3 linked regions of the Neurospora crassa OR74A genome follow. The protein of the gene in region 1 interacts with the protein of each later gene in a pairwise test. Links are inferred from orthologs where the notes say so. Each region holds a gene or a part of one and is shown in the gene's direction. Other genes may lie near its edges.

Evidence for each region.
Region 2: the proteins of NCU00488 (region 1) and NCU03786 interact in binary tests that used the Schizosaccharomyces pombe proteins (3 or more experiments, as listed by UniProt). The link is inferred for Neurospora crassa OR74A from reciprocal best matches to the Schizosaccharomyces pombe genes paa1 and par1.
Region 3: the proteins of NCU00488 (region 1) and rgb-1 interact in binary tests that used the Schizosaccharomyces pombe proteins (3 or more experiments, as listed by UniProt). The link is inferred for Neurospora crassa OR74A from reciprocal best matches to the Schizosaccharomyces pombe genes paa1 and pab1.

What each region holds. Positions count from the first base shown.
Region 1 is NC_026503.1:4,029,182-4,034,213, reverse strand, and holds the start of NCU00488 (protein phosphatase PP2A regulatory subunit A), read left to right. Parts: upstream 1-1,800; 5' UTR 1,801-2,525; coding exon 2,526-2,591; intron 2,592-2,681; coding exon 2,682-2,787; intron 2,788-2,898; coding exon 2,899-3,050; intron 3,051-3,118; coding exon 3,119-3,610; intron 3,611-3,678; coding exon 3,679-3,938; intron 3,939-3,995; coding exon 3,996-4,434; intron 4,435-4,493; coding exon 4,494-4,886; 3' UTR 4,887-5,032. Other genes in the region: NCU11185 (protein phosphatase), read left to right, coding at 1-1,169. UniProt on the Schizosaccharomyces pombe protein: Phosphatase 2A affects a variety of biological processes in the cell such as transcription, cell cycle progression and cellular morphogenesis, and provides an initial identification of critical substrates for this phosphatase.
Region 2 is NC_026505.1:2,408,340-2,413,053, reverse strand, and holds the start of NCU03786 (serine/threonine protein phosphatase 2A), read left to right. Parts: upstream 1-1,603; 5' UTR 1,604-2,302; coding exon 2,303-2,326; intron 2,327-2,397; coding exon 2,398-2,754; intron 2,755-2,816; coding exon 2,817-3,773; intron 3,774-3,828; coding exon 3,829-4,127; intron 4,128-4,182; coding exon 4,183-4,558; 3' UTR 4,559-4,714. UniProt on the Schizosaccharomyces pombe protein: The B regulatory subunit might modulate substrate selectivity and catalytic activity, and might also direct the localization of the catalytic enzyme to a particular subcellular compartment. Has a role in cell shape control and septum formation.
Region 3 is NC_026501.1:3,523,590-3,528,611, reverse strand, and holds the start of rgb-1 (protein phosphatase PP2A regulatory subunit B), read left to right. Parts: upstream 1-2,027; 5' UTR 2,028-2,952; coding exon 2,953-2,996; intron 2,997-3,242; coding exon 3,243-3,283; intron 3,284-3,388; coding exon 3,389-3,486; intron 3,487-3,581; coding exon 3,582-4,233; intron 4,234-4,353; coding exon 4,354-4,940; intron 4,941-5,015; coding exon 5,016-5,022. Other genes in the region: NCU09376 (hypothetical protein), read right to left, coding at 1-911. UniProt on the Schizosaccharomyces pombe protein: Phosphatase 2A affects a variety of biological processes in the cell such as transcription, cell cycle progression and cellular morphogenesis, and provides an initial identification of critical substrates for this phosphatase.

The sequences.
Region 1 (5,032 bases):
TGCTTGATCCCTATTATCGCACTCTCGAAGGCTTCATTGTGCTGGTTGAGAAGGATTGGCTGTCTTTTGGACACATGTTTCACCTTCGGTCAGGGCATCTAAGTCATGAGGACTGGTTTACAGTGGACGGCGATGCACTTGCAGGGACCGCCGTGAAGCCAGGGGAAAATGATGGTCGGGCAGACCATTTTGAGAACGCCATAGCCGGCGCGAAGCGATTTTGGAGCAAAAAAACGGCCAGCGGGAAGGAAGCCGTTACTGATGCGGATGGGACGCCTATCGAGACCGGCGTGGAACCTGCTGTTGCCGAAAATATGGCAACAAGACCCAAGGATATCTCGCCTGTCTTCCACCAGTTCCTCGACGCCACCTACCAGCTCCTCAGGCAACACCCGACTCGCTTCGAGTTTAACGAACGATTCCTGCGCCGCTTATACTACCATGTGTATTCTTGTCAGTACGGTACCTTTTTGTTCAACAACGAGCGCCAGCGCCACGAAGCACGGTTACAAGAACGTACAAGAAGCGTGTGGGCCTACTTTCTGAGCCGGCGCTCGGAGTTCACGAACGAGCAGTACGATGCCACAGTTGACGACCACGTCAGGGGCCGTGAGCGTATACTATTCCCTCGCTGCGACGACGTGCGGTGGTGGCACCAACTCTTCAACCGGACGGATGATGAGATGAATGGCGACCTCAATGCCTTGGCCGCAACAGCAGAGCGTGTTGCTGCGTATCAGCAAGCTTCGTCGTCATCAGAGCTTTCAAGGCCTGTCGATGCGGGTACGATTGATGTGAACAGCAACCCACCATCGTCCGGCGCCCCATCGCGGACATCGGTAAGCCCCACCCGGAGCCCGCTGCCGCCGGGCTTGGCAGCTACCGCGGCCGGAGGGTCCGTGCATGCAGGCGTGGAGTCGGCCCACGAGGTTCTGACGCCCGGGACTAGAAGTCCGGCGCCACCAAACCGGAATGTCGCCGCTGGAGATCCTACGGGCACTTTTGCAGCTCTTCAGGAGAGGATTTCCGGATTGTCGCTTGGAAAGGCTATGTTTGGCGGCGGCACCGGTGGGAGCACAGGGCGAAGTTCGATTGGAGGATCTGGCTCTGATTCCGGGCGGAATTCGCAAAACGAACTGGCGGAGCAGGAGATGAAGAGTATGAGTTAGATGAGTGGTGAAGAATGTTGGAGAAAGAGTAGAATAATATGTGGGCAATTGGTTCCCGTTATGAGAATAGCACGTTGGAACAGCATGCTCCCTGATGAAGCAAGGTTAGCGATGCTTTAGTTGCAGTAATGCCTGACTTTATAAGACAGCAAAATATGAACAGCATACATTCCCAAACCAGTATCAGTATTAACATGTGATGATGTTTTAGTGAGTCAGAATTGGAATACGTGATGTTGTAACAACTCACCTTAGGCTGTAACAAGGCAGTTAGTTGGTGTTAAACATTCTCCCCTTCTTGCATCTTGATGGCTGTTGCCATTCTTCCGGAGCTGTAGCACCTCCTTTTTATGTCAGTCTGCAGTGTTTTCCAACAACCTGACCTCACGAAGAAATGTAAGTTGAACAGAAAGAGCGGCTTACGTCGCGAGTTGGAAGCGAAAGAAGTGGTTCATTGATAGAGGTACCTACCTACCTAACTCTCGTGGTGCAGCAAGTAGGTACCTACGTAAGTGGTGCCCGGTGCGCCTTGAGGGGCCACCCCTACGACGGGAACGGGCGGCTACGTCCCAAGCTGAAATGGCGAGTGGCCAGTGCTCCTTCTCAGTTCTCACCCTTGTCCGCCCGGCCCCCGTCATGAACTGGACCCCAGCTTTGCGCGTCAGGTCAATTTGTGTCGAAGACCGGGTCCAGCTGTGTCCCGCCGTTGGTTAGGCGACCTTAAGTGCTGCCCTGCTGCCCTGCTGCCCTGGCTGCTGCTGTTGCTGCTCCTCCTTGTTGCGGCCCTGCGGGGACCACCAAGCTCGCTCCGATCTCCACCTCTAGGTGTAGGTGAGTCCTCCCCCCGAACAGGAACCACCGTCAACCCTCCATCAAGCAACCCTTACCTATTATCAAGCAAAACCGTCCAGTATCATTCCTTCTTTGCCTGCTTGCTGCCCGCCGTGTCGTGGCGCCGTGTGCGAAACTACCTTACTGCTGAGAGATCGCATCCAATTCCGATTTCGACCCGACGAAGCGTCACTCTTGCTTTTTCTTTTTCAACCAAGCAACCAAAACCAACCTAAATACAACAAACCTACCTACCTACCTAGCTGCCCGCCCAAGCAACGCAGTTACCAAGTTGCGCACACGCACGCATCCACTTTCCTCTCTCTACCACAATCACAGTCACTGGTACCGCCGCCGCACAGCGTCGCCCGACCGGCTACCAGTCCAGTCCACACCCCCCCGTCTATTGCATCACGCCCGCAAGCGAACATCCGTACCAAGTCAACCAGTTTGTCCAAATCCGCCTCGCTCGCCGACTGTATACTCCCCCGCGATCTTCCGCGTCCACTTCACAAATCGCCCACAATGGCCGACGCGACGAACGCGAACGACGAGCTCTTCCCCATCGCCGTGCTAATCGACGAATTGAAGGTATGATGGCGGTGACCCGGACGGCCAGAACCCCTGACTATCCCTTCTTGTCTGGTTGATGGACTGTAAACCCTGATTGACTTTGGGCAGCACGACGAGGTCGTCCTCCGATTAAACGCCATCCACCGTCTTTCGACTATCGCCCTTGCTTTGGGTCCCGAGCGCACTCGCGAGGAGCTGATTCCCTTTCTCGATGGTTAGCCAACCCTTCGACCCAGCTTCAGCCTAGCAAACCCACCTGCGCCGGCCTCTGGCTACACAGCCGCTGGGACTCTTGAGATACGGCTGCTGACACTTCTGAATGCAGAATCGGTTGAAGATGAAGATGAGGTCCTCGTTGCCCTGAGTGAAGAGCTTGGTAACTTTGTCGAGTACGTGGGGGGCCCCGCATGGGGACATGTCCTTCTTTCCCCCCTTGAGAACCTCGCTGCTATCGAGGAGCCCGTGGTGCGAGACAAGGTACGGATACGTGACCATTTCCTGGCTTCTTGTCATGCGACCCGCATGTGTACTGACAAACGTTTTAGGCTGTCGAATCATTGAACAAGATCTGCACTCAACTCTCTTCGCAGCAAGTTGAAGAATACTTTATCCCTCTTACGATTCGCCTCTCCAAGGCCGACTGGTTTACGTCCAAGGTTTCCGCATGCGGCCTGTATACAACCCCCTACTCGAAAGTTTCGCCGCCTATTCAAGAACAATTGCGCCAGCAGTTTGGACAGCTCGTCCACGATGAGACCCCCATGGTGCGCCGTCAGGCCGCCACCAACATGGCCAAGTTCGTGAAGGAGATGCCGGCTCCCATCGTTATCGAGGAAATGATACCCATGTTCCAACACCTCGCCCAGGACGACCAGGACAGCGTCAGACTCCTTACAGTCGAGATTTTGATCTCTATTGCGGAGGTTGTGCCCAAAGAGCAACAAGCCAGCCACACCGTGCTCCTCACATCGCTACGCAGCTTGATAGAGGACAAGAGTTGGAGGGTCCGCTATATGATCGCCGACAGATTTGAGAAGGTTCGTGGTCGCGCTAAGCACTTGGCCTCCCCTCATATCAATTCTTGGATGACTAACAGCACATACAGATTGCGAAGGCGGTTGATGATGAGGTTGTGTCCAGAGATCTTGTTCCTGCATTCGTAAAACTCCTGAAAGATAACGAGGCTGAGGTGCGGACTGCCATCGCCGGCCAGATCCCTGGCTTCTGTGCTTTGGTTGACCGCAACGTTCTCCTGAATGACATCATGGGAAGTGTTGAGGATCTCGTCTCGGATAGCTCCCAGCATGTCAGAGCTGCCCTTGGCACACAAATCAGCGGCCTCGCTCCTATCTTGGGCAAGCAAGAGTACGTTCCCGCAGTCAGACACGGTTTCTTTGATGCGTATGCTAATTATTGCACAAGGACTATTGATCATCTTCTGCCCATGTTCCTTCAGATGCTCAAGGACGAGTTCCCAGAGGTTCGCCTTCACATCATCAGCAAACTGGAGCTTGTGAACCAAGTTATCGGCATCGACCTCCTTTCTCAGTCTCTCCTTCCGGCCATTGTACAGCTAGCCGAAGATAAGCAGTGGCGTGTACGCTTGGCTATTATCGACTACATCCCGCTTCTTGCCAGCCAGCTGGGCGTCAAGTTTTTTGACGAGAAGCTCAGCCAGCTTTGCATGGGCTGGCTCGGAGATACTGTTTTCTCCATTCGTGAGGCCGCTACTCAAAACCTAAGGAAGCTGACCGAGGTGTTTGGTGTTGAGTGGGCAAGCGAGGCTATTATTCCCAAGGTTATGGCTATGGGTGCCCACCCCAACTACCTTTACCGGATGACCACTTGCTTTGCTATCACGGTAAGAGACTCAATGGCATACGAAAATCAGTGAAGTCCCTGTCTGACTAGTGTTTACAGACCCTGGCTACCGTTGTCAGTCTGGATGTGATTGCCAAGTCCATCCTTCCGATGCTGGAAAAGCTCACAGCCGATTCGATCCCCAATATTCGCTTTAACGTCGCAAAGACATATGGCATCATCATCGGTGTTCTGCGTCGTCTGCCCGACGAGGGCACCATCTATACGCTAGAGAAGGAGGGCAAGCCTGCCACCCCGTCGCCCAAGGGTCAGGAGCTCATCCAGCAGCGCATCATGCCGTGCTTGGAGAAGTTGCAAAAGGATGATGATGTGGATGTGCGGTACTTTGCGACGACTGCTGCGGCCCAAGCAACTGGTCCTCTTATGGGAGCTGCCACCGAGGCAGGAAATCCTGTTCCTAGCGGTGGGGAGCCCATGAACACATCTCCATAGACAACGGATTTTGAGACGGAAGAACATAGGAAAGCAGAGAGTCCCACCTAATGAAGAAAGTTTTTGTTACCATCAATGAGCCAACAGAGCAGCGTTAGGACTATGATAAACTAGTGGCCAGTTTTTCTTCCTTAGACTTGTCGTAG
Region 2 (4,714 bases), on another chromosome or scaffold:
GAACTTGAAGTCGGAACTGCAGTGCTAGGTTCCATGTTACGAACTTGCGGCAGTAGGTATGTAATTGCTCTTGCCTTTGTGCATGCCCTGCATAGGTGGTTACTATGCCGTAACGCGGTTGTATTGGGTAGGTAACATGATTCGCTCTTTCCTTTTAGCCATCAAACGAGCCTGAGATATTCATTGCCAACCAAACCTTAGAAATACAAAGACTGACGCTCGTTGATTCATACCATCTGACCACAGAAACACTGAAGCAAGCAAATGAGGCTTGAAAAAGGAAGAACCTGTGGGGAGCACTGGAAATGGGCCCAAGACACCCTGCATGGCGCTAAATGAACGCCTGCAGTTCATTCGAGTGGAGATCATTGACACCTGTAATTACCAAGACTGGGGCTCGGGGCCACCTCCAAGCATGGACACATCGGTTAAGACTACCGCAGTATACCTCCCCTAGAGGGGACCTGTTGTGCTTGATCTCTATCGCTGGCCTATTATTTCCCCTAGCGTTTTCTATGTACGTAAAGTTAGTACAGCGATAGCGCAGCCTACCTACACAACTCTTGAATTGCCTGGTGACATCCGCTTCCACGGCACACCAGCAACGGAATAACATTTCAGCCTCGCCATCCCATTTCCATTCCCTGGACGTCCTTTCGCCCTGTTCGGGTGATCATCTCCAGGCCGTAATAAGCGCGCCGGCGTATCTAGATCAGCTTCCCCTTGGGCGCTACTACTTCAGGGAATCTGCTCGGGCACTTTGCGAAACCGAGCTACAACAGAGGAAAGAAAGTGCAGTGTTCTCTTTGCCGTTTCAGCCTCGAGCCCGTCTTCACTCTGCATGTAATTGTCAAGGACATGGTAACAACAACCGTCCCTATAGAGGTAGCTGCTGTTACACCTCTTTGAAGCTTCGTACAAGACCGTCCCTTAGTAAAACCTGATTCAAGGTTCCGTCCGGGGTCTTTTTAGGCGATCATCACCTTCCCATTCATTTACAAGCTTTTGCGTCTGTCCACGACTTTGCTACGTCGGTACCTGACTACCTTAGGTACCGTACCTTACCTAACCTAGGAGCCTAGGCAGGTAGTTGACAGCCACAAAACACACCGCTCGGACCTCCAACAACCCAACATACCTCTAGTGAACCTAACAAAGTTGGAAGCGAGTTGACGCAGCCGAGTGAGCAGCTCCAGCGTCCGAAGGGAATTTCTCACACAGCTCGGCTTCGACTCCGCGTTGTACCTCTAGTGTACACTCACCACCAACGAAGAGTGGAAGCGACAAGGGACTGGACCATTGGACAAACAGCCACATCACCTGGCACCTGGCACCCTCACACTCGGCTTTGGGTCCCGCGATTGCATCCCGTCCAGCCCCGCAGCAACATCCTGGGCCTGGCTCATCTGGGCCTACACTCACTGGGCAGATCTACCACCCAGACTTCCACTTCTGGCTTGTTTAGCGGATTGGTGCTGGCGCTACCTGATTCTTTAACAGCACCCTACCTACTCTCAAGAGTCCCGTCTCGCACCTCCATCGAACCAGCAAGTTCGTCCCTCTCTCTGGCATTCGCTTCATCCCCCCCTCCCCCCCCCCCCCCCCAAAGGTCCCAAAACACACACTGGACTTGGAAGCACCAATTCCCAACTCCCATCCGGCAACGTCCCTACAGCAACACCTACCACGCCAGCACGCCCGCCGTCGACGAGACACCCTGCGCTTGTTGTCGTCACCTTGACTTGTCATCCGATCCCGCGCGGCTTTGATTCCGTTACTCCGCCAGTTCGCCGTGCGCCCTCAGAGCATTTCACCCTGCTACTGCTGCTGTAGCCGTTGCCTCTGCCACCATCGAGAGAGCGCGCTCCCCCGACTCCCGTCGCCGACACCCCTAGCATTAACTATCCTACCAAGGTTACCATTCAATCGGCCGTCGGGCAACTACACAAAGTCGATTGACACGCCGTGGCCTCGCCATCATCCAACGCGGCGTCGTTCCCATTTATACTGCCAGCCACAGTCGGGCTTGTGGTCGGAAGTTCGCTCTGACGCACTGCACCCCTCCTCTTCGACATCCAGGCGGGACGTAGAGCTTTCGGTGAAGCAAGTCCGCGACCGGCCGCCCGTTGGCATCGCAGTCTCAAACCCGCGAGCTGTTCGGCACACATCCTAGCCTTTGGCTAGCCACCCCCTTTTCGTATACAGCAGCTATCAGACTATCGCCGCGCCCTCATTACCCCTCCACCTTCAGGTCGGGCAGCCTTCACTCGCCCCACAGGCAGAGAAACTGTTGTCCTCAAAGATGAAGCGGTTCAGCCAGAGAGTCGTAAGTCAACCCTAGGTCTTCTGTAAGCTGTCCCGTTGGAACGGATCGCTAATGCTACACCGTCGTGCTAGCTCTCGAGGACGAAGGACAAGGATTCCAAGTCCAAGAAGAATAAGGATGCGAAGGACGGAACAGCTTCCCCCAACTCACAAGGCTCTCGCGAGGCCACCCAGTCGCCCGTTCTCACCCCTTCATCGTCTACGTCGACACTTGTAAATGACAGCCGTAACAAGCCATTGCCGCCTAACAATGCGGCCCATGGCGACCACGGCAATTCCATGCTCGGCCCTCAAGGCGGCAACTCGAACCCTGGCGCAGCGGATAGATTCAGCAGTATCGGGGGGCAGCAACAGGGCGCCAACGGCGGCAGCACCCCTGTCCGTCACGGCACCCTTCCTCCTACCGTTATAATCAGCCCCAGCGCGCCGGTAAGAAGCTCCTTGGACTGCCGTACCTGGACCATGGAAATACTAACGATTGGTTGTCGTAGCATGTCCCACCTCCCGGCGCCGCGGAAACGATGCCGCACGATCTCGCTCCTCCAAAAGCCGGACAAAAGTCGCTTATGTTTGACCGTTTACACCAGACCCCCAAAGACGTCCTGGAAGGGCTCAGGACGCCAAAGAGGCAGAACTCGTCGCGGTTCGACATCTCAGCCCATCGCGAGCTCGAGAAGCTCCCGGGCTTCCATGAGGTGGCCCCCAATCACCGCCAGGATCTGTTCATGAAGAAGATCGAGCAGTGCAACGTCATCTTTGACTTCAATGATGCGAGCGCCGACATGAAGTCCAAGGAGATCAAGCGATTGGCCCTTCACGAGCTGCTGGATTATGTCGCTAATAACCGGCAAGTCATCACTGAGCCAATGTATCCGCGTGTGGTTGAGATGTTTGCAAAGAACTTATTCCGCCCAATTCCTCCTCCCATGAACCCGCAGGGTGAAGCTTTCGATCCCGAAGAGGATGAACCGGTCCTGGAGGTTGCCTGGCCGCATATTCAAGTTGTCTATGAGTTCTTCCTCCGGTTCATTGAAAGTCAAGATTTCAACACCAATATTGCCAAGGCGTATATCGATCATAGCTTCGTTCTTCAGCTACTCGAGCTCTTCGACTCCGAGGACCCCAGAGAACGGGACTTTTTAAAGACGACTCTGCATCGTATCTACGGCAAGTTCCTCAACCTGAGGTCCTTCATCCGCCGCTCTATCAACAACGTCTTTTTCCAGTTCACGTACGAAACTGAAAGATTCAATGGTATTGCCGAACTGCTCGAAATTCTTGGGTCAATCATCAACGGTTTTGCGCTCCCTCTCAAGGAGGAGCACAAGCTTTTCCTTACCAGAGTATTGCTTCCTCTTCACAAGGTCAAGAGTCTGAGCATGTACCATCCCCAATTGGCGTACTGCATCGTGCAGTTCCTGGAGAAGGATGCTTCCTTGACAGAAGAGGCATGTGACACACCCCGTCTTTTGCGACCCCACCATAAGCTAACATTTGTCTCAGGTTGTTCTCGGACTTCTCCGTTATTGGCCCAAGGTCAACAGCACCAAGGAGGTCATGTTTCTCAACGAGGTTGAAGACATCTTCGAGGTCATGGACCCGGCTGAGTTCGCCAAGGTCCAAGAACCTCTGTTCCATCAGCTCGCCAAATCGGTTGCCAGCCCGCACTTCCAGGTCGCCGAGAGAGCTTTGTATTTCTGGAACAACGAGTACTTCTGCAATCTCGTGAGCGACAATGTCGAGATCATTCTCCCCATCATGTTCGCTCCTCTCTACGAAAACTCCAAGGGACATTGGAATAGGTACGTGTTTGAACAACATCACATATTTTGAGGTATCACGACTAACCGAAAATAGAACCATCCACGGCATGGTATATAACGCTATGAAGCTATTTATGGAAATCAACCCGCAGCTATTCGATGATTGCTCCCACGAGTACACGGAAAACCAAAGCAACGCCCCTGCAAGGGAAGCTCATCGCCAGAGCAAATGGGCTCGACTCGAAGAACTCGCGAAGCAGAGGAAAGTAGAAAGTGGAACATCCAATGGCACCAGCTCTATCCCAGCTCGCACCACTGTCCACCCGCTGCCTCGCCTAGAAGAAGTAGACGGTACAGAGGATAATCAAAAGAGGCTGGATTCTTTGAAGTTGCAGGATGGTGATAGAAGGGAGCGACGACCCGGGATGCACGAGAGGCAAAGCTCAGTAGGTTCATCCAGAAGTCGGTAATACGCCTTCACGAAGGAGCTGTCTTTTCAGGCGTGTTGTTCTTTTTTATTTTATCTTGGAGCTCAAGGCCACGGGCATTGTTCGGTGTCAAAGTCATGTACGAAGCTGGGAAAACCCGTCATCACGCGATTGGAGGAAGAAGGAAGTTGAAGGAAG
Region 3 (5,022 bases), on another chromosome or scaffold:
TCGAACCCCAGCAGGGAAAGTGGGATGAAGTTGAGCGCATGATCCCACGCAATAGGTGATGAGCTGCTGCCGGGATCGTCGTTCCCGAATAAAGCCTTGCGCAAGCTGGCCATGTCATCGGGCAATATTGTATTCTCCTCCGGCCCTGCGAGCTCTGCATCCAGATTCAGATCACCCCGGAGCAATGCTACAACTTCCTGGCCATCGCGCGCTTCCTGTTCGGCGACAGTGGATGCCGGAAAAGAATGAGTCCATTGGTTGTTTGTTGCTGGTACTGTCGAACTCGGAACATTGCCTCTCATATTCCACGCCCCTTCCAATACACCTGCTCCTTCGGGCGCCGTAAGAGGCTCGGTGGTGTCAAGAAAGGCGGCGAAAGAAGCCTCTTGCATCGCAACATGTCCCTGAATCTGGGCTGACCTGATGGTCTCGCCGCCATGAGAGGCAGAATGAAGCGGGGCAGAACTCTCACCCACGCGCTCGAGATTTCCCGTGGCCCTTGCCACTGTTGCCGCCGCTCGTGAGCCTTCTCCCTTCTCGCCGTTGCCTAGTCCCGAAACTGCGCCGGTCATGTTACCTTTGGAGAACAAAGCTGAAGGTAGTGATGTTGCTGACTTGGCGATGCGGGTAAGCAGATCGTCCCCGCCCCCGGTCTGCCCATTGTGGCCTATATCACCAGCACCAACTGATTCCTCCGACGTTCCAACATCCTTTCCTTTACCCTTGGTCTTTTCAGGCATTGGCACCATCTTCAACCTCACAATGAGATTGGTGGGTGCATATAAATCTAGTGATGGGCTGAGATCGATGTGTAAGCGGGAGAGTTGAGTTACAAGAGCCGTACCGATGAGATGATAATAAGAAGGAAGAGATGGAGAGACATCAAGGACCGGCAACGTGCTGCCCAACATCAATAGGTGGGGGCCCTATGACCTGTCAAAAATCCAAGAAGACGAAGGATGCCGTGGCCAGGTCCGAGCAATGATGCGGACCGGGGGAGGGTGGATATCATGTAACTTATATAGTCCCGGCTCCCCGGCAGATCCGCAACGTCAGACCTAGACCCCGAAGTTTCAAGGCGGGCCAGTACACCACACGTGCTTTTTTGGGGTGATTCATGCAGCATGTGCGTTTCGACATGGCCGTGAGGCTACAGCAGCGTCTGGGGAGTTTAGACTCCTCACCTTGAATGACATCTATCATGTAACAGGGATATCAGACCTGCCAAACTTTTCCGTCCAGTCGCGAACTAGACAGTCCTGGCATGTCTGATGGAATATGTACCTGTGAACAAAAGACGGAAGCTGAAAGAGCTGCAGTTGCACCCGTGGGGGCCGTTCGATTGGATGGCAAGGCTCAAGAGATATTGAACAAAGCGACGGGACCACACGCCAACACATGCCATGGGCACAATAAAGCCATGATGCCATCATGGGATCCAGAGACGGACCTCAGCGGTGTTAAGAGGCCGGGTCATGACCATACTTTGCTATGAGCTATTGAAGACGTATGCGGACAACTTAAAGTGCGCTCTTGATCCATAGCATACGTCCAAGTTCAATAGCTAGTCAGCTGGCACAAAGCGAGTGTGCCTTTCTGGTGTAGATGCCCGTATACCATCACCCAATACCTAGCGCAGAGGTTGATACTAGGTAGGTAGGTATATACCTACGAGCCTACCTCGTAGTTGTACATGGCAGATGCCATCTCGTCGCCGCCCGGGATAAATGGACCCCGCAATTGCTCACTGGTGGAAGCTGCGCGGCCCTGGGTATTGGACGAGATCTTCCATTCACCGAGCAGGCCTGAACGGGCGGGCATGGAGGGCACGGGCTGACGGGCCCCCATGCCCCTGTGTTGAGGAGGGAGGGGCCAACCTTACCACCATACGTACCTACTTAGCATGTAGTAAAGGGTACCTCATCGCCCGCCCATCCACCCCGTGCCCACTCCGTACCTCGCTAACTAACTAGCTCGTCATTCCCTTCAATCGCCAAAGCTTAACTCCCTGGCAGGATGAGGGCGTCCTTGCTTGCTCCTTCCCACATCTCGGCCCATCTATCTCCATCTCCATCCACCATCCGTCTTTTGCTCAATCTTGCAAAGGCAACAACCTAACCCTTCACCAACAACACTTTACGCCATATCCGCATACAGCACTCGGCTTGACGTACCCCGCATCTTCACTTGGCTTTGCGCACCTGCAGCACGAACAGGAAACCGGCCCACGTCCAGAGGTAGTCAGCTCCCAGGAAGCAACGACAGATTATCGCTCGGTCGGCACCCATAGTCTTCAGTTGTCCAGGTCTCGCCGCTGCGGCAAAAAACACTCTCTCAGTTGGGTTCAGGTTCGCACCTCAATCGCTTTATCGCTGCACTACTAGGTACTTAGAGGTAGTTTTCCGTCTGGCCGTTGAGCCTCACACCCTCCATCCCGGGCCCCATCAGGTCCTCCTCCGCCCAGCTACCTAGGTACCTCGCTGCGCTACCGGCGTACCTCCGTCTGCTTCCCTTTCGTCGCCCTACGTACCTTACTACCACTCGGGTCGGGCTCTGCTTCCACCACACCCGACCGCCCACCAGCCAGGTACATTACATACCTTACCTCAACACCTACCAAGTTTGCTTATTGCTTTCCTCCCGTCTTTCCCTACCCGACCGACCCTTACCTTCATCCATACATATGCTCCCTGCAACAACATCCATAGCGCACCCACGTGTTTTAACCCGGTCTCTGTTGGGCACCTCTCTCCAGATCTCCAACTCCCGTCTCTCCGCCATCCCTTGATTTCGCGCCTCGAGCTCGTGAAATCTCTTCTTGTCCATCATCGCCCTTGGGAACGTCGTCCCTTGCCGCCGTTGCCCGTCTGTCCCTCCGTCCGCTCGTCGTCCTTGTCCCATATCTGGTAGAGGTGGGGATCTCATCGCCCACGGCCCCGGGAATCGTTGAAGATGGTGGAAACAGATACCAACTCTCCGACATGGAAGTTTACCCAGTAAGTCGAACTCCTCCTTGACCCTCCGTCATGTTTTCCATCCCCGTCGACTTCTGCCTCACGAGCGTCCGTCTCTGTGCGATTGCGCTCGTGCCTGTCCCTGTGCCCGTACCCGCGCCCGCGGCTGGATCCGATCTCCGCTCCACGTTGACCTACGCCTTTCTCCGTCAACGCTCTTCTTTATACGAGACGTCGCCTCGTTTTCCTGTGTTTGCCCCACTTCATCGTACTGAGATCTTGTCATAGATGCTTCGGCGACAAGGGAGATGTTGAGGACATCACCGAAGGTACGACCCACCCCTCCTCCCACGACGGGTCCCTCGACCAGGAGCCCGTCAATGCCCCTCCTCACGTCATCAATACCCTCAGCCATACTGACCCGCCTTTACCAGCCGATATCATCTCCACGGTAGAATTTGACCACACCGGAAACTACTTGGCGACTGGTGATAAGGGTGGACGAGTCGTGCTATTTGAACGGAACGAGACGGTTAGTGGAGTTGCGGCAAACCCCCCCTCTCCCCTTTCCCTTCCGGCTTATTTGCTGGCCCGCTTCTTGTCTATGTCTTGCTTACCTGTGGACAGAAAAAAACCTGCGAATACAAGTTTCATACCGAATTTCAGTCCCACGAGCCCGAGTTCGACTACCTCAAGTCCCTTGAAATTGAGGAAAAGATCAATAAAATCAAGTGGTGCAGGAGACAAAATGCCTCCCACTACCTCCTCTCGACAAACGATAAGACGATCAAGCTATGGAAAGTGTTCGAGAAGTCGCTTAAGGTTGTCGCCGAGAACAACCTATCCCATGATTTGACGCCTGCAAGCGTAGCCGGCGGTGGAGGCGCACCTCGTGCCTTACCTCATACTCAGTTTCGCAGTCCCGCCGATCTCAAGCTACCCAGGCTTACCCATCACGACACAGTCGTTGCCGCCGTGCCTCGGAGAACATATGCCAATGCTCATGCGTACCACATCAACAGCATTTCCGTCAACAGCGATGGCGAGACCTTCATCAGCAGTGATGATTTGCGGATCAACCTATGGAATCTGAATATCCAAGACCAGAGCTTCAACATTGTGGACATCAAGCCGGCGAACATGGAGGAATTGACAGAGGTCATTACAGCCGCAGAGTTCCACCCTCTGAGCTGCAACTGGTTCATGTATGCCAGTTCTAAGGGCACAATCAAGCTGGCAGATATGCGCGAAAGGGCGTTGTGCGACCAGCACGCAAAGAGTACGTTGGATTTCGGTGAACTGTGTTTGAAGTGTTTTTTTTTTTTTTTTTTTTTTTTTTTTTTTATCTCTATTCTCCGCTGATCATTGCTTACAATTCGTTTTTTTCTTCCCTGTATAGTGTTCGAACAAGAAGAAGACCCATCGTCCCGATCTTTCTTCTCTGAAATCATATCTTCCATCTCCGACGTTCGATTCTCCCATGACGGCCGGTATATCCTTTCTCGCGACTACTTGACGGTCAAGATTTGGGATGTCAACATGGAGCGGCAGCCAGTCAAGACGATTCCAATTCATGAACACCTCAGGCCGAGACTCTGCGACACATACGAAAATGACAGCATTTTTGACAAATTCGAGGTTGTATTCTCTGGAGACGCCAAGAACGTAATGACAGGAAGCTACAACAACAACTTCATGATCTACCCATCGGATCCCGACAAGGAGGTGGAGGTCGTCCTGCAAGCGGATAAGTCGGCGTTCAAGGCCAAGAAAGTTGGGGTGCCGACACCCATTAATTCGTCGACAAGTCCCACAGCTAACGGTGGTAAGAAGGGAAATTCACGGGCAGGAAGCCCGGCAGCGGCAGGCCAGGGCCAAAGGATGCGTAAAGAGACAGACGCCGATCAAATCGACTTCAACAAGAAGATTCTCCATATGAGCTGGCATCCGTTCGAGGACAGCATCGCCATCGCAGCAACCAACAACGTAAGTTCTTGCCCCGCTAGTTCTTAACCGCATCCTCATCTGGGCCCTATTGATAGCTAACCATCTTTCCCACAGCTATTTG